Drosophila melanogaster: one gene and its partners. The protein of the gene in region 2 interacts with the protein of the main gene of each other region in a pairwise test. Each region holds a gene or a part of one and is shown on either strand. Other genes may lie near its edges.

Region 1 (7,898 bases), on a different chromosome or scaffold from region 2:
TCTTGGCCCGGTGTTCTCCACACGGATTGCGGAAGGCTGTCGCCGGGTGGGGAACTGTGGTTGTGGCTGTCAAAAGGTCGTGACTCATTGCAACGGCTGTCAATTAGCTGGCCCTGACCCCGCCTTGCTTACCTTTGCTCAGACCCGTCAGGACGCCTGTGTGACTGTCCACGGAGACCTCCATGGAATCGTTCGAGCTGCACTCACTGTGCGATGACGGGATTCCAACCTTGCCACGCTCGGCGATGGCTAAGGGGTCACGCGACACCGTCACACGCTGCAGGTCGGCACTTGCGCCTGCTTGGTGGTAGTTGAAGCTCTGCGCCGTCAGCGGATTAGCCTGGCTGATTCCCAGCCCGTATCCGCCAGGCTTCTCGCCCAGTTGGTGCTGTTGATGCCACCGCAGGCGCCTCAAGATGTCTTCCTCCGAGTCGGAGCTGGTGTTCTCGTAACGCCTTTTGCGGGCTGCGGGATACTTAAAAGTTAGCCAGTCAGCCCCAATCCCCACGAAACACGGTACTCACTGATCTTCTGCACACACTTGACTGCAAGGTGGCGCTCGTCGCAGCAGTTGATGGCATGGCGGTAGTGAAAACAGCACTTGCGACTGATGAAAAGAAACAACAGGAGCAGTAGAACGAGGACGCCGAAAAAGGCGCCCAGCAAAGTGGTCACCTCGATGGTGCCTGAAAGATTTAACAGTCACGGCTCAGGTCAGAATGGTGTGGTTTGTGGGGTGCATATACATTTTTACGTACCGAGCGTCGGAGTGCTATCCAGTCCAGAAGCGGAGGTAACAATCATCTTGGCTCATGCGAGGATCCTGGCGAACACGAGTCTACTACTCGCAACTCATTGCACCCGGACCACAAGTCAAGTCACTAAAAATTATTCTCACTGCAGCGTGAAAGCAAAAGCTCAGGAATTTGACAGCACAGCGTCGCAGGATAACTGGAATCGATTTTTCGCAAGACAACGACTAGGGATCAAAGCAAAAAAGTCGTTTGGAAGCTGGTGTACTCCGAATTACCCGTTTTTTTGGCCCTTCCGTATTTCGGAACCGTTCATCTGAGATTTGGTTGCAAAATCGTAAAACAAATTATAGAAGGAACAACTATACTGTTCTATCCTATTAATCACTTTCGATTTCTTGAAGGCACGATCCCAAAACTGCGAATCATGCAACGAGAGATTCAGAAATAAAAATCAAACGGCTCAGGATTTAATTCAACTGAATTAGGATGAGCTGCCTTAAACTCGATGGAAAAACTGCTTCAAAGCAAGCACTTTGGAGCTTAATCCCTCCACCCCCAGTGTGTGTACACACAGGGCTCGGAAAAGCTCCGTTTCGACAGTTGCATCGCAGTAACAACTGTTGCTTATTTTTTTGTGTTTGGGAGGATGATTTAAGCTGAAAACTTAGAAACGGGATTCTTTTTTATTGGTTGTGCTGTGCTGTGATTTCTTGAATTGTAATTGTTTAGAATGTCTCGAATAAAAATTCTCTCCGTGTCGTATGCATTCGAAGGTTTAAACGTTAGTCGTAGCCACGGTTTCATAAAATGTTAAGACCAAGACCGTTTGCCTGTTATTGATGTTCAAAAATTTGAACCAAATAATTAAGAAAAGCGGAATTAGTGCATCAGAATTAATGCACATTGTATGCTCCATTCAGGTAATTGTCCGGTTGTTTAAAAAAGAGCCTTATAATTTAGGTCAAAATTTTTAGAGCTACTCATGCTTACATACATGAAATGCGCTGTTATTCGATAGCAGATAACACTCCGAGCAGCAGGTATCGATAATCGCAACAATCGCTGTTCCAGCGAAAGTCATCGCTTTGACGGCACATCGCAGATTGCCCACCTCTAAAATAAATGCCTAATGAATTGGCTCAGTTCCGTTGTGCGCTTAATTTTTTGTCGCTGCTCAAACTGAATGTTTCCGCCTGTCAGAACACCGTATGCAAAACCGTGACCGCGCCCACGCCGTGCTTGAAAGTCCAATACATTTAATCCGCAATTGTGACGCAAGTAAATTTTGGATGGCCAATGCCACTGGGCAAGTGTGAGTGCCGTGTGTGCCAAATTCCGCTGAGACGCTTCTGATAATATGATTATGGCTAAACAGCTAAATATAGTGCTCAGTGCCCCCCACAAAGCGGAATACCGCGGTGGTACCGTGATACCACCTCCTTGGCGTCGATTACTTCGTTTCTTTATTGCTGGTGGAGCTAGCAGGAGGAAGAAAGCCAGTCTACGACGTCATCTTATGTCGTTTCGCTTTTCATTTCGCAGCAGTCACTCGCACACAATGAAAATCGAGAGGGTGGGATGGGGGTGGAACAGGGATTTGAAAACTCGATTTCCCGTACCAAGAGCCCAGACCAGAGTTGAGCGCGTGTCAAAACTTTTCGACACAAAGCAGCACGAAGCCGAACTGGAATCTGGCAAAGTGCAGTCTAAATACATATAATATAACGCTTTTGTATGAAAATAAAAGTTTGTCTAACCTTGAATCTAACAACCAAGGCATTTTTCGTTAGGTATATATGTGTACTTCCAAATATATAAAATATCCTCGCAGAGCTTCTAGAAAATATTCTATTGTAAGCAAGTTTTTGCAGTGGACCAGTGAGCAATGGCGTGGGAATCCCAGCTGTAGATGCTTGGAATTTCTACAAAAACTTACAATGTCGTTTCCCGGTCTTTTGAGCTTTTAAGCTAGTATTCAACTTTCAAGTCAACTCCATTTCTGTCAATCCTAATTTCTTCATACCCTTGCAGAATGTATATTAATTTCAGTTAGAAGGTTTTAACGCAGTGGTGGAGATATTTGCGACCATATCAAGTATATCTATTCCTGATCAATATCGCCAGCCAAGTCAATATCTAATTCACATTTTTTGCCAGGGTTTAAATATTTGCTACAATATAGCTCAAGCAATCGAAGTACATATGTATGTATAGTGCTCTTCGATTGGGTCAACAAACCAAGCGACTCGCTCTTCCAGCTCTTTGTCGCCGTGTGCATTTAGTCATTGATCGCGGGAAGGAGTCGCTGTGGGCCATGTCACCATCTCCATTGACAACGCAGCCTTTCTTTATTGGTGTCATTAAAATTTGTTAAATGGAAAGGTCATTAGACACAGCGGTGAAACCGGTTTGGTTTGGCGGCTTAATTTTCGGTTAACTCGACTGCATAGATTACGCACCAGCCACTTCAATTGGCTGCCAAATACCTTATGCTTATTGGTATGTCTTCACTTGCAGTATGTATATTTGCTGGCAACCACCCACCAACAAAAAAAAACTTGACCCAAAAGCGGCGAATGTTTATTTTCTCTTTATACTTGACTGACGTTCATCTTGGTGGCCAGAGTTTACTGCCAATGTCGTTCTTAGTCAGTTAAAGTGGGAGTAGATACAATTATCTTGAATCCAAGCTACCGCCTATTTTCATCCCGAACGTATTACTAGATGTTACATACTAATAGAAACAACGCTTAAAACTGGTAAATAGGTTTTTTAGTTGAACTATCAATCGTATTGTAAACTGTTAAACCTCATTGACAATTTTATAGACACAAAACGCTGATTTAGGGCTACCGCTGGAAAATTCTATTATCTGTTAGTGAATTCGTCTAAATTCATTTGTAGATCAATAAGTGAATAAATGTTTATTGTTCGTCAATTAAGTGCCATTCCACTGGTCTGTGCCTGCATACATTTAAATGTTTTTACATTGTATATTCTGCAACCACAGCACAGTTTGTGACGGTGGTCGTGCAAGTGTTTGGAGAAATCGTACGGCTGTTTCCAGGGATTGCATACGTAACTTGAGGATTTTTCTTGCTGTTTCACTTCTGTTTATTGTCTCCCCCAAGTGCACTAGGTACAAACATCGAGTCTTTCGTGGGTTAATTTCTGTGTGCTTCCAGTTTTTATGGTCCACTGCGGAATCGCACGAATGAAAAACCTCGCTTAACAATACTTAACTATCCGTATTTTTTCTATTTCAGAAGCAACATGAGCGTTTTGCGGGAGGAAACGACAACTTCCAGCCAGAGGGAGATAAGCACAAACGGCGGTGGGTTGGATTTCCCCGCAGAAGTGACGTCGCTGATTGCTGGCAACAGCTTTTGCTTAACGCCAGGAAATAACGGCGGGATCGGTGCCCAGAAAAAGGTCACTACTGGAGCGGGTCTGAACAGTACACAGAGAGGTGAGCGAGATCATCGTCCGAAATATTGAATATCCGTTAATCTAGGTTGTTTATAAAGTCTATTTTAAAGAACTTGGTATTATAAACTCAAAATTCACATTAAATTCCAAATCAGTGAGTGAAATGTTAAATAAATACAAAACACAATAATAAATCAATTAGGTTAATTTTGTACATTACGCCTTTTATAATTCCCTGCAAAGTTAAGAAACCTCTAAGTTTCTTCTGTGTTGTACTAATTTTGATATAATAAACATGTTATATTGCATTTTTTGATCTTAAGGTTCCTTTTATTTTTAGCCACTATAATTACGAAAAGATTTAATCTATTCAAACTGACTGATTTCACGGTCAGTAATCGACTTAATTTTATTTGTTACGATGCCTTTGTCCGAGATATATCATTGAAATAACGGAAACTATTTACCTAACTCCCGAATTATATAAGGTGGGCAAAATATATACTGTTTGTTTAAAATTAATATTACAGTATAAAGTACATATGTATATTAAGTAAGTATATGAGTATACATACATCTGATTAAAAAGTTGAAAATGTTCAATAGTGTGGGCGTGGCAGTTTTAATCAATAGAAATTAACAATATATACAGTCAAATGACAACAAATTAGGGGTGGGAGTGTCAGCTTTGGTTAGTTGCAAAACAAGCTTGCTTCTTATTATGAAATTTATAGTATCCGAGACCTCGACGGACATACGGACATTGATAGATCGACTCGGCTAGTGATCCTAATCCAGAATATGTATATTTTCAAGGTTCGGTGACAATCCCTCAACATTTAGAAGCATTTCTGAGTAATTTCCTTGCTCTCCTTACTGGCCGTTTATCGAAAGGGGCATCGAGTTTGCTCAATCTATAAAAACCAAGTATTTGCTTGACTTAAAGAAAACCGTTTGGTTTTAACAATTGAAAAACGAACCAAAATAGTCTTAAAATTGCTTCAAATTGCCCCAGACGTTTTTCTGGGCTAAAGTAACTTAGACAACTCTAGTTTAGCCGCCGAGTTGAGCGTTACGTCCGGAATTGTTGAATTCGTGTAATAGTTTTCACTTTGTCAATGCTGGAAGTGAAAGCCGTGAAGCCTTTAGCTACGTAATCTGTCCACACTAGGACCTGCACTATTGAAATTGTCAAGATGACCTCAAATTAAATTCTCCTTCAGCTACGGATGCCACCAAGCGCAAGAAACTAAGGTCGCGTAACGTACCACCTTCCCCATTGGCCCAAAAAACTGAAGCAGCGGCGACCTCTCTTAACCAAACGAACATCGGTGAGGTCAAGAGAACCGATATTAACTATTCCAACGATCACCTTGATGCCTGGTTGGAGAGCTGTTTACGTGATGCCACCAACGCCCAATTGTCTTCTTCATCTGAGTTTTTGGACTTCATACCGCCCACAGCACCAGCTCATAAGCAAATGTTTTTGACTCAACAGCAGCAGCTGCCGCAGCTTAAACAGCAACTACAGCAGCAGAGGCAACAGGAATTTTCGAAGCGAACCCAGCCTTACGGAGTGGGTCCAGGCACACCGTTTAGCCTGGGGATACAGCGCGTGAGTAGTTGCTATTGCAAGATATTTTGTACAACGCACACCCAACTTTATTTTATTTTTACAGAATTCGAACTCTCTTAGCCATCGATATCCGATGCTCTTCCCACCCCAGAGCCTTAACAGCTATGGTGATGGTGGCCAGGAGTTTGCAAGCTTGCCTCCCCTGAACAACATGATGGGAGGGCCGGAAGGGCTTGGGTGCGATCAGGAACCGAATTCGACGGATGTGCTGGATGGCAGCGAAAGCAATCCCAACTTTACCAAGGGGTAAGCAAAAACAATAAATTCGTAATGAATTATTAAAGAGCCGTACTTACCGTGTGATAACAGATTTCGGTTCAGCGATCCGTGCCTACTGAACCCCTCCGATAATGACTCTAAGCTGAGTGGCCAGAATACACCAGAGTGTCGAAATGTGAACAACAATGGCAGTGGCTGTGATCTGGCACATCAAAACAAATTTTTCGCGGCTCTAATGGAACAAATAAACATATTGCACGACACCAATTCCAAGATCTGCCGGAATTTGCATAATACAAAAGGTGTGTGGTTTGTAGGATTGTGTCCAGTTTAGATGTCACGATGCTTCCCAAATTACGACAAAATTACACAAATCTCTGATTTATTTTACTTGTACTCGTATGCTAATTAGAATGTGTTGCCACCCATTTCCTCTTTCTATGTACTCCCTTGCACTTGCAAACACAATCATAGTTGATATCGAAGCTTTAAAGCACTCCCCTAATAGCCAGCACTGGGCAGGTGTAGGCTTTGGGGGCATGCGGCACCGTAGAGATAGCTTAAGCGGGCTAAGCACACAAAGTCAACCTCTTATTCTTGGCAGTGGATTGGGAGGGACACACAGCCCAGCGCCCACATTTCACTCAGGTATAACATAAACGCTACCCCCAACTATGCCATGCAAAGGAGTGAGTAATAAGTTATATTCGCTTCCCATTTTTCAGGCGCCTACACTCCAGGAATGATGACGGATGTCGTGCGGGAAGTGAAGGAGGCAGCGCGCATACGCGAAGATGCACTGCTAAGTCGGTAAGAAGTCGAAAATTAAAAAGTATATTTAGAGTGTTGATTACATTTTGTTCTCAGAGTAAAATTAATGGTTGAAGAACGTCAGTGTTCCTTAAACGAGGGAAATGTCCGAATTCTGAGAGATATAGACGATCTAAAGGTGAGTGCTAAAATAAATGTGCATAAAAAGCTAAAAGCTAAAAATTCGATTTCGGTTGTAGACCCAAGTAATGCAGTTGCGACTGGAGAAAAAGGAGACTAACAAACGCCTCTCACATCTGGAATCCGAAAACAAGTGCCTTCGTCAAGCTCTGGCCGGTTGTTATAACCAGCGGCCAATCAGTAACGACATTATTTACGAAAATGACCGATCCCATGGATTCCGAAAGCCATTTCCGAATGGGGGTGGCGGCGGAGTTGTGGGTTCCGGTGCCCTCGGAATACGACGGGCAAAATCTTTAAACCTTCATTATGGAACAATGCATCAAACGCCTATCCAAACGACACACTCTTTGGAAGAGGACGACGAAATAGAAGAGGAGCAGTTAGTAGAGCAAGTAGGACTGGACGGAGAAGAATTATCCCTGACTGGCAACAACAGTTTATCGTGTTTGAACATCGGTCATCAATCTCCCTCCAACTTAACGCCTCACTCACAGATACCTAAATCAGAAAAGCAAGCAGTTAGAAGCCCTCCCTCTTTTGCGCTGGCTTCTGACCAGATCAATCCGGGAATTCCACCGCCATTGCTACCACGAAAGAAGGACCACGCTCATCTAAAGCGGGAGCGCAGCGAGGCGGCCTCCGTACGTAAGGAGACAAATCAACGTATAATTGCGTGGGTGTAGTATATGCTCTGTTCTACATTTTTAAACTAACCCATCACCGTTAACTTTCACTTGCATGGACGTTTTAAATATACGTTTAGTCACATTCTACTAATCATTTTAATCACTATCTGAGCTTGGTAACTAATCCTAAAACTTACAAATTGTACACTTCCTTTTTATCTTTCAATGGTTATTTATACTGGGCAACATTATAGCCTTGAGAAATTGGTTGAAGACCTA
Region 2 (7,569 bases):
GTAACTCCAGTAATAGTAATCTCTCTATTGCAGTTGTGGTCGCTGTGGACACCTGAACGATTTGACGACGAACAATTAATCTCATTGTAGACTTAATACATTTGCAATTCATTTAAATTAACTACAATTATGCTTGCAATGTGAATACATAAAGACAAATAATCAATGAACAATTTAAGACTAAACAAATTCCAATTTAAGGTCTCTTTGCGAATCGATGTAACTTTAAGCTGGTCAAGTTGCAGTTGACGAATTTATAGTTTTTCGATTCCAGCGTAGGCGTGTGAACAGTTGCATATATATTTATATATAGATTGGCGTCTCTTGACCGGTGAGCAAACGAAACATGGACGTGGGCATTGTCTTCATCAGGATCTGATTGGAAAGGTATTGTTAATATAAGAATAACGAATTTAAAAACGCGTCATACCTCGCCCACTGAGGATGACAACAGCTTGACAATGGTATCGTGTGGCACGGCCACAACGCTCTGGTTGTTAATCTCAATGATGCGGTGGCCTACGCGTACTCCACCCCGCTCAGCGATTCCTCCACGCAAAAGACTGCAGATCTGCATTAAATAAATACATATGATTAGAAGGATTAGAATAAGAAGAATAAATTCAGCATTTTATAATTACCACGCCATTTTGAACACTAAAACCCAACTGGAACAGCGCCTTGGGACGCAGGATCTTAACCTCGACGACAGGCGGACAGGGCACAACGGTGAACTTGACGGCAGTTTGGTTCTTGGCATTGCGTATGTAGCTCTGGCAGGTGGACAGCGGCAGTCCCACCAGGCTCATGCCGTTAATGGCGATCAGCTGGTCACCGATGTTCAGCTGGCCGCAGCGGGCAGCTGCTCCTGAACTCATCAGGTTGGCAATCACCACGGTGGGCAGCATGGATCCCCAGCCACTCTCTACGATCACCACGCCTAGGATCTCGCCTTTCGCCTTCGGCACAACTACCTCCTTTTGCAGCTCCTTTTTGGCAAAGATCTCCAGCTCATCACCGAAAATCTCCTGACTGTTGAGCACCTCCTGGTAGTCCATCTCTTTGGCCAGACTCTCGTTTTCGATGCCGTTCGCCTTCAGGAACTCCATGTAGGCCACCTGGTTAGGTTTTGATTGTTAATTATACGTGCCAATAATATTATTAATATTCGCGTACCTGGAAGGCCTGTCCAATGGACTGAGCTATGAACTGCGCCTCATCGCTTTCGAACACGTGGCAGATCATTTTGGGCGTGCGATTGTGCTTGCTGAGTGGCTCTTTGGGGGGCGACTCCTCCTCGCCTATGCCCGGAGTGGGAACATCACCTAATGGACTGGTGATCGATGGATCCACAACACTATTCGGTACGAATCGACGACGAGCCATCAGCACAACCAGATCGCCAATGTCAGCTATATAGGATATAGTACGCAGCGCATGGTCCATCATGATCTCCTTGAGATCCGTGTTAAGCACCATTATCTTTTCGGTTGATATGAACAGGTCCACTTCAGTGCTCGGCTGACTTTCGCCCTCGGGAGCCTGGTAAAAAAATAGCAAATCATATATTATATAATGCATTTAATTCTTAATGCTATCATTTGACGACTGAAAGGGGCTAACGAACGCTTACCAAAGCCTATCGAGAGGAATGCGCAGCAGGGAACGAGAAAAGCGAACGAGAAAGTTTTTAGACACACACATAGAGCATAACCTAGCGGGGTTTCCTTGAATGGATGTGCTTTCGTGTGCATCACCAGGTTTTCACTTCACTTACCTTGATCCTGGAAACGGCCTCCTCGGCCTGCATCATTCTGGTCGACTTGGTCGGCTGACCCTCGCAGACAAGTTGAGTGGATCCAAGGTATCTGGCCCGAAACAACACGCCCTCAATGAGAACTTTGGGTTCCAAGAGACCTAAGAACGAACATTATTTAAATTAGTTACGAAGTGCGTTAATGGTCTTCATTTCTGATTGTTAATACACATAAGGGTAGTTTAATAAACCTAAACATCTGCTGGGTAACAGAGACTTACGTGATGTCAGCATTAAATAGATTTGAATTGCAGCGTGAAATGTTGAATCGGTTTCCATATCAGTAAACGAACAACAAGGGGCGTTGACAACTGTGCTAACTTACCCTCTTTGTTCCGCGATTTGGCCTTCTTGTCCGAGTTGGCAGAGTCCTTCAGGGATTTAATAGAGCCCGTGGGACTTTTGGTGAACTGCAGTTTTTCCGGCGAGCTTATGGAGATGTCGGTCGTGCCCACAATCTGACAGATGTCCGGCGAATTGGGTGTCAACGAGGTGCCGATGCCTTGTCGAATGGTGGCCGTCGAGTAGGTTTGCGGCTTGCTATTATTCATAGGATTCGGATTGTTGTTGTCCGACGTGCCATTTAGATGCCCATTGCTGGCAATATCCGTGCCCTCATTGGCATTGTTATCAGCCAGGCTCTGTAAAATTATTATTTCGTAATTATTTTGAGCTGATATCTCTGTAAGTTTGCATTCCTCACCTGATCGGCGAAGAAATCCTGCTCATCGTGCCTCTGCTGACCCAATAGACGATCTGTTTCAAGGTCGGTGTCTGGTTCCTCATCCGCCGCCGCACCTTGGGCCGTCGAGATCGTCGTCCCTTTGCGTGGAACCCAAACCGGTGAATCTGGATCCGTGGGCAGCACTTCGTCACAGAATTTTAGTTTTTCAGGCTGCGTTTTAGCACGCTGCAAGGCGGAACGTATCTCCTTCATGGCCTCCTGGATTTCCGAAGCAGCCTGCGATGGCAAAGATCCTCCCGCAGTTACTGGTGTCACCCCCAGTCCTGATCCCGCTGACTTCTCTGTGTGAGTACCTCCCAAAGCTGCTGCATAAACCGCACCGTAGTGACTGTCCAGTGGATTATCAGCATCTGGGACCATGGTCATGGATTCACTTGCATCGGCGATCTCGATTTGGGGCGGCGATGATGGAGGCGGAGCCGGGGGCATGGGCAGTGAGGCGAAGTCGCTTATCAGCGCCGATTGCGAGGCATCTGTGGTCAATGTGGCCAAGCTGGCGCTCATCACATTGTAGTCGTTCTCCAGCCGCTCGCCATTACCGTTGTGCTCGTGGACGGGCTGAGATTGGGACGATTGCTGCTTGTCACACACCACGGATACGTTGTTCTCCGTGTCGGAGGCGTGGCCACTGCTCAGGCCATCTTCTAGGACAGGCATGCTCGTATACAGTTTACCAAAATCCGTGGGGCAGTTAATGTCGTTAGACAGACTGTCCAAATCACCGCAATTCGAATCGTAATCCGTCGTCTCGGGAGACAGGGTAAAGTTTCGGGAGTGTCGGCGCAGATTTGCCTCCAGTTCGGTGTCCGCCAAATCGCCGCTGCTTCGGCTATTCGAATCAATGTACAGCTCAATATCATTATGCTCCTGGTAGGCCGTCGATGGATTCTGGTCACTGGGCTAGAAATCGAACAATCGTTAGCTATTTTAATGAATTTCATTTCGTTATGACTCACTGGCTTTTTAGTAGGCGACCGGTGAACCATGTAGAGCTCATCTTTAGGTATTCTCGCCAACCGCTGTCCTATATATGCCTGCTCCATGGGCGTGGCTGGGTACTCTTGTGGCTGCTAGTCAATCAAAATGCAATATTAAATGGGTTTCTAGGCTTCTTGGAAGTAGTAGTACTCACCGAGCTAGCGACATCGTCTCCACTTTCCGTGGTGTAATCCGTGTACCGCTTTTCGTCCTCCGGATTCGCCTTGAAGAACTCCTCCAGCACCTTTCTGGTCTCTGAGAATTCGTACAGGTAGTCGAAAGTAGGTGTTTTCTCGCGAAGCGTCCCGGAACGCTCTTCCTCGTGGTCGACCAAATCGATAAGGTTGCCCACGGATGCTTTAGCTGCAGCAGTTGCATTATTAGCGACACTGGTGGTGGGCGAAACTCTTTGCGGGAAACCCGGCGGACGTTTTCTAGGACCACCCATGGTAATGGTATTTGTATTCGGTTGACTTCCAAATCGTCGCGGTGAACCCTCGTACTCGGCTATTGGCAGCTGTCCAATCATTTTGGTCACCTTGAGGACATCCTCATTGCTGCCTGGACGCTGGCCACTCGATGCCTTGTTCATCCAGTTTGTGTCAATGTCGTCGAACACCACGATCTCACCATCACGCAGGCACTGACCGTCCGCCTTGCCCACATCCGTTGGTGAGCCGGGGCTGGCCAATCCCTTAAAGAAAAAGCAGAAAAATCTCATTGTAGTGACTGAAACTACGCCTCTAAGTAATTCTCCAAGTTAAATTACCTGTGGCAGGACATCCCGTGTCTCAAACTGGCTGCCCGGACTCCTACCCAGTCGGATTTGATGCAACTGCGGTCGCTGGTAGTAATAGCTGCCAGAATCGCGTCCCGCATTCGAACCATAGCTGCCGGATCCCTGAACACCTCCGCCCGATGGCGAAAGACCCTGCAGCGGAACGTAGGACAGCTCGCCATTGAGATCCGGCGAATTGAGCACCGTGCTGGCTGGCGTCACATTTGGGCTACGGGTTCGCATCTCCCACACATAACGTTCCTGCTGCTGCTGCTGCTGCTGGTGCTGATGCGATTGCTGCTGCTGCGCCTGCTGGCCAAAGTTCATCTGTATGTGCGGTGGATTGACCATGGACTCGTTACTGCTGTCACTGCAGGAGTTTGAGTTCATGGCTGCACCAACAACTTTGATTCTCCAGGTATGAGGGACTGCGGCTTCGATACTACTACAACTACTGCTCTAGTGCTGCTGCTGCTGCATCCGCTGCTGCTGCTGCGATTGCTGCCTCACTGTGGGCCACTGCCTGGGGGAGAATGGATGATTAGTCGATGATCTAAGGCGGCAATGATTCACTGCGCTGCAGCTCAGCCCAGAAAAAAATCAGGGACAGGTGGTCGTGTCGATGACGTACTTTTGCTGGATACCTTGCCGCTGCGTACTATATATTTAAATCGACATAGAAATACCTGGATTACCGGGTGTGTTTAGACATACGCGATACGGACAACAGGAACCAGCACAGTAAAATGCCAATCTATAAAATTGCTGATTTGTTATTTTTGGACCTAAGCCTATTGCTTTAAATTGGGTTTGCCCCAATCATTCCCTAATCATTCTCATGTGTATTTGTATCTTATTACAGGTCCTAGCTCACCTCGTTAAATGTAATTGAGTTTAGCTAATAATAAGTATTCCATTGTTTCGAGCTTCGGTTTGTTGCTGCACTGGTTTGGTAACCTCTGGTTGTGGTGACCCCCTGGCTGGCCAGCGCAATCAATGCGGGCAATTAACCCACTATTGCCTGTCCATGTGTCTATATGTGGACACCTTTTTTAGGGCCCCCCGCCGCGGTTGCCACTGACCGAGCTTGCGAGTTTCCGAGTTCCGGAGCTACCGTGTCCGTGGTTGATTGCGCACACGTAAACTTGGCCTCCAAAAGTCCTCGCGCAGGCAAAACAAACGCAGGAAGCTGCAGCCAGACACAACAACCACCCACGCGAAGGTTGAAGGATGTGTGGTGGGTGGTGCAAGTGGGTGGTGCCAGGGGGCGATGGTGGTGCTGGTGCTAGCCCTTTGTTGTCGCCGATTGTTGCAATCACTCAGCACTTTGGAGGCGTGGGAAAAAAACAAACTCCCCGTTACCGTTATGTGTATCTATCCATGTGCGTATTGTTAAAAATCAATAGATTTGTCGTATTTTTTTTGCAGCTCCTTTGCTTTTCGTTTCGTTATTTTTTGGTGGGGGCACCGCACAACACAACACACTCATGCACACACTCGTCGCATAACGACGCACACACGCAGCGCACTCGAGCAACAACAACTGAAACGGCGGCAACAACAACACGGCCAGCAAATAGGCACGAAAACAACACCTGTCGCGGTTTTATATTTACCATTTAATTCATATTTATTGCACTACTCCTTCAGCAACTCGATTGGCGCAGAGCGATTGGCAGCAATATAGATAGTCTCTGCTAGAACATCGATGGCCTATCGATTGCTATCGACAGCGAACAGCCGGACAGTGTTGAGCAGCGTTAGAGGGTACTATTCAATTCGTACCTAAGTAGGTGCTAAAAGCCATTTTAAACATATTTAAATATGTTTCCTTCTCCACCCCAGCTTTACTTGACTTTACCCTTTCTCCTGTACCTTGCCCTAATTACGCGGTACCGTCTACTTTTCCAACACTCCTTGTACGATGAATTTCCCGCGCCAATTGATAACACTTTTTCGAATAATATCAGTTTAGCATTTAATGATTAATGTACTCCATCTGGGTTTTGTTTTTCGTTTAATATTTGCAACATTCGAACGGATAGTACAAGTACAAGTGGTGTATAAAAGTTCGATGAGCAAAATTGACAAGGATTGTGTGGCAGTAAACAGTTTTTCTTGTTCTTCGTTAGCTTATAATTCGTTTTATATATTTGTGTATATTGAAACAATTTCTTGCAGTCTTGCCAGAATTTCAGTGATAATAATTCGTTCGTTCAAGATTTATCAAGCAATTAAAATTTTAACAGCAAGTTTTGTTTTTCCATCGAAAACTTAATGAATTAAGTTAGGAATTAGACACGGATTATTTTCCCAAAAATTCTAGCAACACCGGTGTGTGGTTGTGTGATGTTTTCTTTTAATTGTTGTTTGCTTGCTTCGCTTTTAATACATTAATTACAGTGTAAAGTTGCTCTATAGGCTAAACTGGAAGGAATGATTGCATTTAATTGTTGGACACAAAGTTGGAAACTTAATAAATAGTGTTTTCTAAAATTAGACTTGGGTTGGGAAGGGCGATAAAATAGTCAACAATATAAATAAGGTTTAATAATTAACTAACAGATACGAGTACAATGGGTTGGTTTACAAAAATCGGGTTAGTGGGGAAGTTGTTAGGGAAAGGCTTTAACTAACAGTCAAGGCCAACAAAAACATTGCGCACTTAGGATCTACACGTACACTAAACATAATTTTGGTAGTTTTGGGCTTAAACTAGTTGCTCGTTTGGTTGCCTAACATTAGTAAATACATACACGCGCTTAAAAACTACGCTACTTAATGATTATGATGTCTGGTTGTCAAATCAGGAATGGAATTTTAACAGCGAAACGAAACAGAATCGTAATCGAAATCGAACCAAAGACGTACAATAAATGATAGAGGGGATTGGACTTCCAACGGGGAAGGCCGGAGATTAAAGCTTTGTATGTTTGACCGTATCCGTCCAGTAGTTCTGTATTGTCATCGCCTCCAGCGAATTGAGAAACGAGTCGTTGTCCAGGCTGTACATCTCATCCGAATTGTCCTGCAAAATCAAGAGAGAGAACTATTTAGTGCATAGGACATTCAAGCGCCACTGGCAATTGGTCAACGAATCCTTACACTCACCCGCATCGTGCTATCATCGATATAGACACTCGAGTCTGGTTCGCTGAGCGCCTGCGGTTTGTTCAGATACCGACGACGGTACAGTACGATCCCAATGGTGCCCACTGTGCAGCAGACGCCGAAGACAGTGAAGCAAATCGC
Region 3 (3,453 bases), on a different chromosome or scaffold from region 2:
ATTTGATTCGGTGTACACCTTAAAAAAACGCAGCGACCGCTCGTGGCTGAGGAAGCACTGCCTCCGAACTGGATGGTACTCTGCTATTCCCGACGACATGGTGATCATGTTGGGCTTCACTGCGATCAGCACCTCCTTGCCCATGGGAATGCGCACAAACTGTTTGGAAACCTGCGGGACGTCATCGGGCGCATGAAGCAGTACCTGTAGATTGGCATTACTGTAGACACATATTGGAGCAAGAAAAAGCAAACAGCTACGTTTTCAAATTTTCCCACCTTAAATCCCTGCACAGGTCCTCGACAGGCGTAGTCCACCTCCTGCTTAAAGCTTTGGAGGGCCAAGAAAATGCCAGATCGCGCTCCGGCACTTAAGACACGAGCCGGAAAGGTCTCCACATCGCTGTCCAGTGCATAGCCCGTTTCCAGAGTCCAGGCCGTATGCTGCGAGCTAATATTTTCCATTTCCAGGGGCTCCCCGCTGTGTTGATACTGATAGGTGTCGTCCCGGTATATCTCAGTGGCTCTCAGCCCATTGAACGTATAGCAGATGCCCTCCTCCGTAAGAGTCTTTCGGAAGAAGGTCTCGCACTCGCCGAAACGACTAAGCCAGCGGCAGTAAAAGAAGTACCGATCAAACTGGGGCAGCATCCGCTGCAGAACATCAAAGTAGTCCAAGTCATCGCCGGCTATCAAGGGTATGTCCTCTTCAATGATCTGCGTGTTGCATACGTGCAGCAGGGTGCGGAACTCCTCCATCTCAAGGGCACTAACGTTTTCGGGCCTAAACACCCGCGAAGCTCGCATATCTTCGCTGAACTGGCTGTAAAGATCAGCATAAGTGGTCTCTTTTCCTGTCAGACAAAGGTTACATGTTAATATTCATAGTCTGTACAACTAGAGGCTTCCCGAATAACAAACCTTTCTGCTTTAGCACCCTTTTGGTCTCCGAGCAAACTGTGACCGCCGGAAACGGGATGTTCCACACGGGGGTCGATTTTTCCGCGAAGCTAACGATCACAGGCTTTAAAAAAACGCAAAATATTAGTTTTGTTGTCGGCTGAAGGCAGCAAGAGCACTTTTCATTTTACAGAAGACCCTGTAGTGTTCTTATATTTATAAAACATAACAGTTAGGGTGCATAATATATCGCATAATACATCGCAATTTTGAAGGATCTGTACTTTAAATGCTATTGTTTCAGAGAGCTTTTACTGATGCTACGTATATACATATGTATGTATGGTATGTTCTACTAGGGACTCGCACCGTTTCGGTCCACTTGGTGTAGGCACTTTGAATCAGCGTGGAGCAGCCGTAGATCGAGATCAGGAACACGAACAGCCAAAAGATGCGCTCGCGGAAGGGGCGCTCCTGCTCGCCAAGATATTGGACACCATGTATGGAAGTGTTCCTGCAGTATTCATGGTACGTGGTGATAAATCCTTCGCAGGCGACGGAACCTGCCTTCCTTCTCCTCCTGAATGTCAGGTCGATGCCCTTGCTGCTGTCGAGTTCCGAATCCGATATGGTCATGGTGTCTATTCCATTCTTGACGCGCACAAACACAGCTTCAAGTAATCCATGTGGGTTGGAGACGAAAACAACGTGAAAGACAAATGGCAAAACGAGAATTTTTTCCCGTTTCTTGGCAGACCTGCCAGATTGACAGGATCTTGGAGAGAACTTGCAAAAAAACGTTCGGATGGTGACAATTTAGCGATATATTTTACTTCCGAATTAAATTAAATTTTGTTGAAATTAACAAAAACGAAAAACAGGTACATATTTGCTGCAACTTTATTAATTGTCATTGTTAACACGTTATCCCAATTCATTATTTGCACATTCGCCTGTGTTGTTAAAAATTAAAACTCCAAAGAAAAATATTTCAAAACGCAGAAAAGTGGAAACGAGTTGAAAATCCAAATCCTCGTTACGCCTCGATATGTATCGATAACGAATGCTTCGTACACGATTTGTACTGTTTACTTAATTATTAAGATTCGTAATTATTTAAATTTATTTAAAATGGCGACAAGGTCTTGTGCGTACAAGGACTGTGAATACTATTACGTAGGCCACGAAAACGCGCTGACCAAAGGAAGAACCCTGTTTGCCTTTCCCAAACAACCGCAAAGGGCGAGAATCTGGCACGAAAACGGCCAAGTGCATCCAAAGATTCCCCATAGCCAGCTTTTTATGTGCTCCCTTCACTTTGACCGCAAGTTCATATCCTCCTCTAAGAACCGAACGCTCCTCGTCGGCGAGGCAGTGCCGTTTCCGTACGAGGAAAGCAGTAGCAAGCCGGAGGAGGAGCCCCAACAAGTGGCTTCCACTTCGCATGAGAGCTACTATATAAACCTGAGCGACGATGAGCTCAGCATCAACAATGTGGACACTACCTCAGTTACTACAAGTAAGTACTATAAATCCACCGGGCCTTCGAAATAGAGCGGGTTGGATTCATCATGTCGGTGTTGCATCTTAATGCTTTATTAACTTCTTTAACATTATTTTCAGTTGACGCAGTCCACGATAGTCCACCGCAGAAGCGCCCGAAGGAATCTTCCATTGTCATTGCTCTAAAGGAAGCTGTGAAAATGGAACCCAATCCGAATGCAGGCCGAGTTAGAGCAGAACCCGACAATATAGATACTACTGAAGTGTCTGTGTTCAACTTCAAGGGACAGGAGTACGTACAAATGTCTATGGAGTATTACTTGCAGGAAAAGCGGAAAATGGCTAAACTTTTGCAAGACTATAAAAATGCTTTAAGAAGCATTAAGAAACATATTTCCCACCTTGACCTTTAACTTTATCAATGTAATACATGTTGTTCTTCTGTCAATTTACTGAACGTTATCTTAGTTTAAAAGCACCTGACGAATTGGGAAACAAACCTAATAATTTATTTTATTATACTTGGAGAATAAATACTGATAAATATTAATTAATTTGTTACACTTTAAATTTCAGCATTTAATTTCTTTCGTTTAAACCTTAAATACCGCAAACAAATCTAAATTATACTCAGTATTATCTATTGGAAATATTTTTAAAGTATTTAGTTAAAATGTTTACTTTTACAAGCGCATTAAGATGGTGTTTGCCTAGATACTTTTAGCTTATGCGATACCTTAGCATTTGTAAATAAAATGAAATGGGTCCTCAACTAATCGCTGAGCTCCGGGGTATCTTCAATATCGCTGTCTACATCAATGTCGTCGCTCAGATCCTCGTCATGATCCTGCAGTTCTTCAGGCACGCCCAAAAGAAGACGTTTGCGCTGCAGCAGTGCTGCCCAGCTGAGACGAGTCTCACAAAGCGGACACTCTCCTCCAACTGGGATGTAATGACCTGGCTCGTCGCCCAGAAGGTAATTGGCCAGGCACACCATATGGCATGTCAGCCGACACATTTGATTTGTGCATCCCAGGCGGGATTTCTCCGG
Region 4 (4,350 bases), 1.9 Mb from region 2:
CCCGGGTGAAAGTTAGGCAACTTCCTTTTCCAAAGGTCGCTTTGAGCTAATAACACTCGAATGGAGTTCCGAGCAAGTGATACCTGTTCCATTTCCAGGTACTAGACCTTATCGCGTTAGATCGCACATAACTTGGCTGGCTGCCTGCCCATCGAATTCGTGGGCATTTGAAGCGTAAATAATATTTTTTTTCTTGCGACAATTGTCGCACAACCCCTTCCTTTTAGGGCCCTCATTACCGCCAAGTTCTATGTTCCATGTTGCCGAGGAATCCCCTATAGCTCGCTATCGGAGCATTAAAACGCTCATTAACCAGCTCGCTGTGAGAAAGAAGACCACTTGGGCAGACGGATGAGAAGACCCAGACCCTCTGCTCTGGAGGAATTGCTTTCCACGCACCGCTGAGCTTCAAGAGGTGTTTAGCATAAACTGCTGGTGGTTCCTTGTGGTTTCAACCGAATTATGACAGTGTGCCCCTCAGTGAATTTGGTTCTTTTCGTACATTCTGCATTCCAAATGATTTATTCTGGCCAAAAAATTAAAAAAAAAAAAAACGTTCTTAGGGCTATGAAAAAAATGTCTTATGCCTATGGTATAGGAATATCCTTGAGGATTAGCTTTCTTCCACCAGGGAGAAGCTGAGGCGTCTCTTCGTGGCGTCTCTGGCCTGCACTTGCAACCACATGGCATCCAGCTGACAGGCATCCTCCAGCTCCTCGCCACCCAACTCCAGTCCGCGACTCAGCTGGCAGTGCTCCTCCTCCAGCTCGCAGTCGCTGGTGGAATTGTGCCCACTGTCCGGACTGATGTGGCGCATCTTCTGGGCGGGAGCTGCTATGGATCCGGACCTGGCCGCTGCAAGCAGCTTCTGCGCCGACTGCCTGACGCTGGAGGAGATCTTTGTGGTGATCTTTCGCTTGCGCCGCACCACCCGCTGCCTGCGCAGCTGCAGGGAATGCCGCTTGGCATCCTGCGATTCGGATACGGTGGGCACGGGGGAGCGCACCTCCCGCTCCTCGAAGCCCTCCGCTGGCAGGGAATCCCTCCGCGAGGGCGACTTCCAGTACTCGCACAGATCGCTGGCCGGATCGAAGGCGGGGCGGTAGGTGGGCGATGGCGTCTGGGTGGGGCCGTGCCCGTGTCCGTGGCTGCTCCGGAGCACCTGCTGCCTGAGCCTGTGCCGCTGGCGGAGATGCTGCCTGGGCTGGCGGTGCTGATGCTGGTGCTGTTGCTGTCTGGCGTTGGGCAGCACCTTGCGGTTGCTCTCGAGGATGGCATCGATCATGCGCTCCAGGGTCACATCGCCCATCTGGCTGGAACTGAGCGTATTCTGTTCGCCGGTCGGAGGTGCTGGATGCGGATGCGGATGTGGTAGTGGCTTCTGCTCCAGGTAACGCGGCTTCTCGAAGTAGCTGTCCGGGATGCCCATGCCGCGCAGGGCGATCAGGGAGCCAGGAATGATGGCGGCATTGGGCGAGTACTCCGCCTCGAAGGTGGGCAGTGTGCAGGCGAACTTCAGGGGAACAGCAGTTACACCTCCAGTTGCCCCATTAGCGCCACTTGCTCCTCCCGATGGCGGCGTGGCCAGGATGTTGCTGAGGTCCTTGAGCAGTGGTGTGCGCGCATGGAGGCTCAAGGAGCTGGCCGGCAGTGGCGTGGAGGTCAGCTGGTTCTCCTTGCCTGGCGCCACTCCGATCGACTTCCTCTTGAGTTTGCCACGCAGGGCGTGGAACTCGCTGTAGCTGGAGCCGACTGCCTCGCTGCTGGTGGCCATCACCTCATCCCTGGCCAAGTACGAGGGTCGTGGCTGGTTGACGGCCCACTTGAGCATCTTCTTTGTCTGAAGTTTTAGTTTTTCGGTTTTGTAGTGGGTGCTGCAAGGAAAGAGCAAAGGAATCTGGTTAGGAAGGGGGCGGGTATTTCTGGTTCTGGCATTCCAGAACTTGACTTTCTTAAGGAGCAAATAAATAAAGAGGGCAGCGGCAAAGTTGTCGGGCGAGTTTTCGGCAATTTTGGCGCGCTTTTTCCGCGATAAATGTGCATGTAGACAAACATACATATATACATGCATATGTACATATGTATATGGATGTGTATCGATTTGGCGAAATCAGCGAAGCGGCAAAAATGAAATCAAAAACGAAATCAACCACTCCTCTCACGGACAATTAAATGGACGACGGGCAGCCTTTGGTCTGGACCTTAATAATTTAATTGACTCTGAACTTGATATGCTCAATTATTCTTATGAAATCTTAATGAACTTTTAGGTTGCATTCAAATTTGGCTCTTGAGTGGATACCAAAAAACCAAAAATCACAAGTTATCCGAAAAATTGAATTTTTGTGCATTTATAATTGCATTGATCCAGTTATGTTGGGAATTATTTGAAAAGATATTCATAACCATTAATGAATGAATTCATGAATCTTACAGGCACTTAAGTAATTTATTTTAGGTATATCCATTTATTTTTATGAGCCTTTAGATCTCATTGTACATGACTGCATTTTTAGTTTCAGTCATCTTTAGATGTTCACTTGAATTTACCTTTTTCAGTAGTTTATTTTTTTCGGCACTGATATTTATTTCCAACAGCAAAAAAATAAAATAAATGGTTCGCGGATTTATTTTAAGAATTGATTATTTGGTAGTTTGTATATGTAGTGCTTTTTTTTTGCCAAGTGTTGCGTTTCAACCGTCGCGTTTTTCTGGCAAAGATCGACTGCGTGCGTTCCCTTCGCCGGTTGTTGGTTGACTGACTGGCTAGCCGCCTTAACCGGGAGAAAGCAGAAGGCGACGAACGGACATGTTGCTCATGCGCAGAGGGAAGAGAGCGAGAGCGGAGAGATCAGGCAGTTGAACGGCAGGCACGTTCAACCGGCGGCATTGAAAGCGGGTGGTGGGAGACCACTCGTTGTTATAGTAATTAAAGGTATTTCGCATCTGATATCAGTCCACTTGACTTTAATAACTTATGCAAGATACTTTGCAACATTGATAATAATATAAATTATTTAAATAAGTTGTAATATTCGTATTTCTCACTTTTCCCATGATAACAACTATAACTAAAAGCATACCCTTTCAATACCTTTTATCGAATCTGGTATATATATATATATATATATACAATTACCTCTTCTCGTAGACTCGTACTTCCCAAAACTATCTAATATATTTCTATTTATTAGATAATGCGATACAAATTGAAAAGCAGAAGGCTGCGCTTTGATCTACATTAACGTTATCTTGATGTTCAGTTTTTATAACCGTTTACCGATCGATTTACGATCTGGCAACAGCTGTGCGAATTTTCCACGATCGTGAGATTTTTTATTTGGCCACCGAGAAGGATCATGATCAGTTGGCCAAGGATTCCTACGTGCAACAAGAAAGGGACGGCGCTTGTGAAGCGTGTGAGTGGGACGGAGCATAGTTGGACAGCTGTTCTCATCGCCGCTTGCGCCACAAAACATAATTTTCAATTACCTTTCTCGCAGCGTGTGGCTCCTTTCACCTTGGACTCCTCAAGATACCCTGTGTTTTTTTTGGGATCCTGAGAGTATGCTAGACCTGTGATTGTGTGGGTTACAGGAAGTTAGAACAAAACATTGGGTCTTAAAGGATTTTTAGTTTTTCATTTGATATTGAAAAGACTTTCTGTTGTTGTTTAAACAAGTTCATCGGAATAATGATTACAATTATTTAGTTTAATTGATGAAACTGTTTTGCATCATTTGCCAACTTTTTCTAACATAAATATATAAAAGGTTTAAATAATAGGTATCTTATAGTCGTTAGACCCTAGCAAGGCAATTCTTTCCGATTTTTCCTTCCTTCTCTCACGATTTTCGCCAAGAAAAGGACAACACAAACAGGAACTTTGGGCATTGTACAAATTTGGCCCATTGTTTATGGGACATCGCTGTCCTGTGGAAATTGTTGTGGAAAATTGTGCAATTGTTTTGCAATTTATTGGTTAAAGGGCTCCCGGTCCGTCCTGCTCCTACCTTCCCTCACTTTCCCTCCTGCTTTCTCTGCTGATCTCAAATTTATGATATTTTCGCAGCCGCCGATTGTCCGTTTGAGAAAAATAGAATTAAATCTCAACCGTACATCTGCCCAATTCTTCAGTTTTGGAATCTTTACTATTTGCTTTCGCCATATTATTGCTTGCTAAATTTATTTGACAGTTTTTGTGCAAAAACTAAACACAACTTTTTGTTCGCTGAGGAAGTGCCAGGACCTGCTTTAGCATTTCATATGACACTGCAGTTCCGGACCACCAAGTGCTATAGGATACAATTTATTGCAACTGGTGGTGGCACAATTAAATATGCTCAAGTG

The links.
Region 1: the proteins of X11L (region 2) and CG9795 interact in a two-hybrid assay, tested with the Drosophila melanogaster proteins (one large-scale study listed by BioGRID).
Region 3: the proteins of X11L (region 2) and Dlip2 interact in a two-hybrid assay, tested with the Drosophila melanogaster proteins (one large-scale study listed by BioGRID).
Region 4: the proteins of X11L (region 2) and CG12708 interact in a two-hybrid assay, tested with the Drosophila melanogaster proteins (one large-scale study listed by BioGRID).

The regions. Positions count from the first base shown.
Region 1 is NT_033777.3:4,317,824-4,325,721, forward strand, and holds the start of CG9795 (uncharacterized protein), read left to right. Parts: upstream 1-1,859; 5' UTR 1,860-1,963; coding exon 1,964-2,067; intron 2,068-4,021; coding exon 4,022-4,224; intron 4,225-4,524; exon of another isoform or gene 4,525-4,672; intron 4,673-5,407; coding exon 5,408-5,799; intron 5,800-5,863; coding exon 5,864-6,066; intron 6,067-6,129; coding exon 6,130-6,341; intron 6,342-6,513; coding exon 6,514-6,687; intron 6,688-6,764; coding exon 6,765-6,849; intron 6,850-6,906; coding exon 6,907-6,988; intron 6,989-7,049; coding exon 7,050-7,666; coding exon of another isoform or gene 7,667-7,676; exon of another isoform or gene 7,677-7,873; coding exon 7,874-7,898. Other genes in the region: Syt14 (synaptotagmin 14), read right to left, coding at 1-66, 133-465, 525-686, 759-804.
Region 2 is NC_004354.4:17,598,044-17,605,612, reverse strand, and holds the start of X11L (X11L), read right to left. Parts: upstream 6,006-7,569; 5' UTR 5,934-6,005; intron 5,623-5,933; exon of another isoform or gene 5,192-5,622; intron 4,841-5,191; 5' UTR 4,708-4,840; coding exon 4,309-4,707; intron 4,234-4,308; coding exon 3,694-4,233; intron 3,632-3,693; coding exon 3,518-3,631; intron 3,462-3,517; coding exon 2,520-3,461; intron 2,458-2,519; coding exon 2,142-2,457; intron 1,918-2,141; coding exon 1,778-1,917; intron 1,640-1,777; coding exon 1,634-1,639; intron 1,543-1,633; coding exon 1,177-1,542; intron 1,119-1,176; coding exon 642-1,118; intron 572-641; coding exon 431-571; intron 376-430; coding exon 304-375; 3' UTR 1-303. Other genes in the region: CG12991 (uncharacterized protein), read right to left, coding at 7,235-7,366, 7,429-7,569.
Region 3 is NT_033777.3:4,644,146-4,647,598, reverse strand, and holds Dlip2 (dorsal interacting protein 2), read left to right. Parts: upstream 1-1,943; 5' UTR 1,944-2,030; coding exon 2,031-2,418; intron 2,419-2,522; coding exon 2,523-2,815; 3' UTR 2,816-2,950; downstream 2,951-3,453. Other genes in the region: rpk (ripped pocket), read right to left, coding at 1-204, 261-853, 921-1,023, 1,269-1,535; nuclease slx1, read right to left, coding at 3,175-3,453.
Region 4 is NC_004354.4:15,673,888-15,678,237, reverse strand, and holds CG12708 (uncharacterized protein), read right to left. Parts: upstream 2,763-4,350; 5' UTR 2,551-2,762; exon of another isoform or gene 2,435-2,550; intron 1,875-2,434; 5' UTR 1,832-1,874; coding exon 614-1,831; 3' UTR 501-613; downstream 1-500.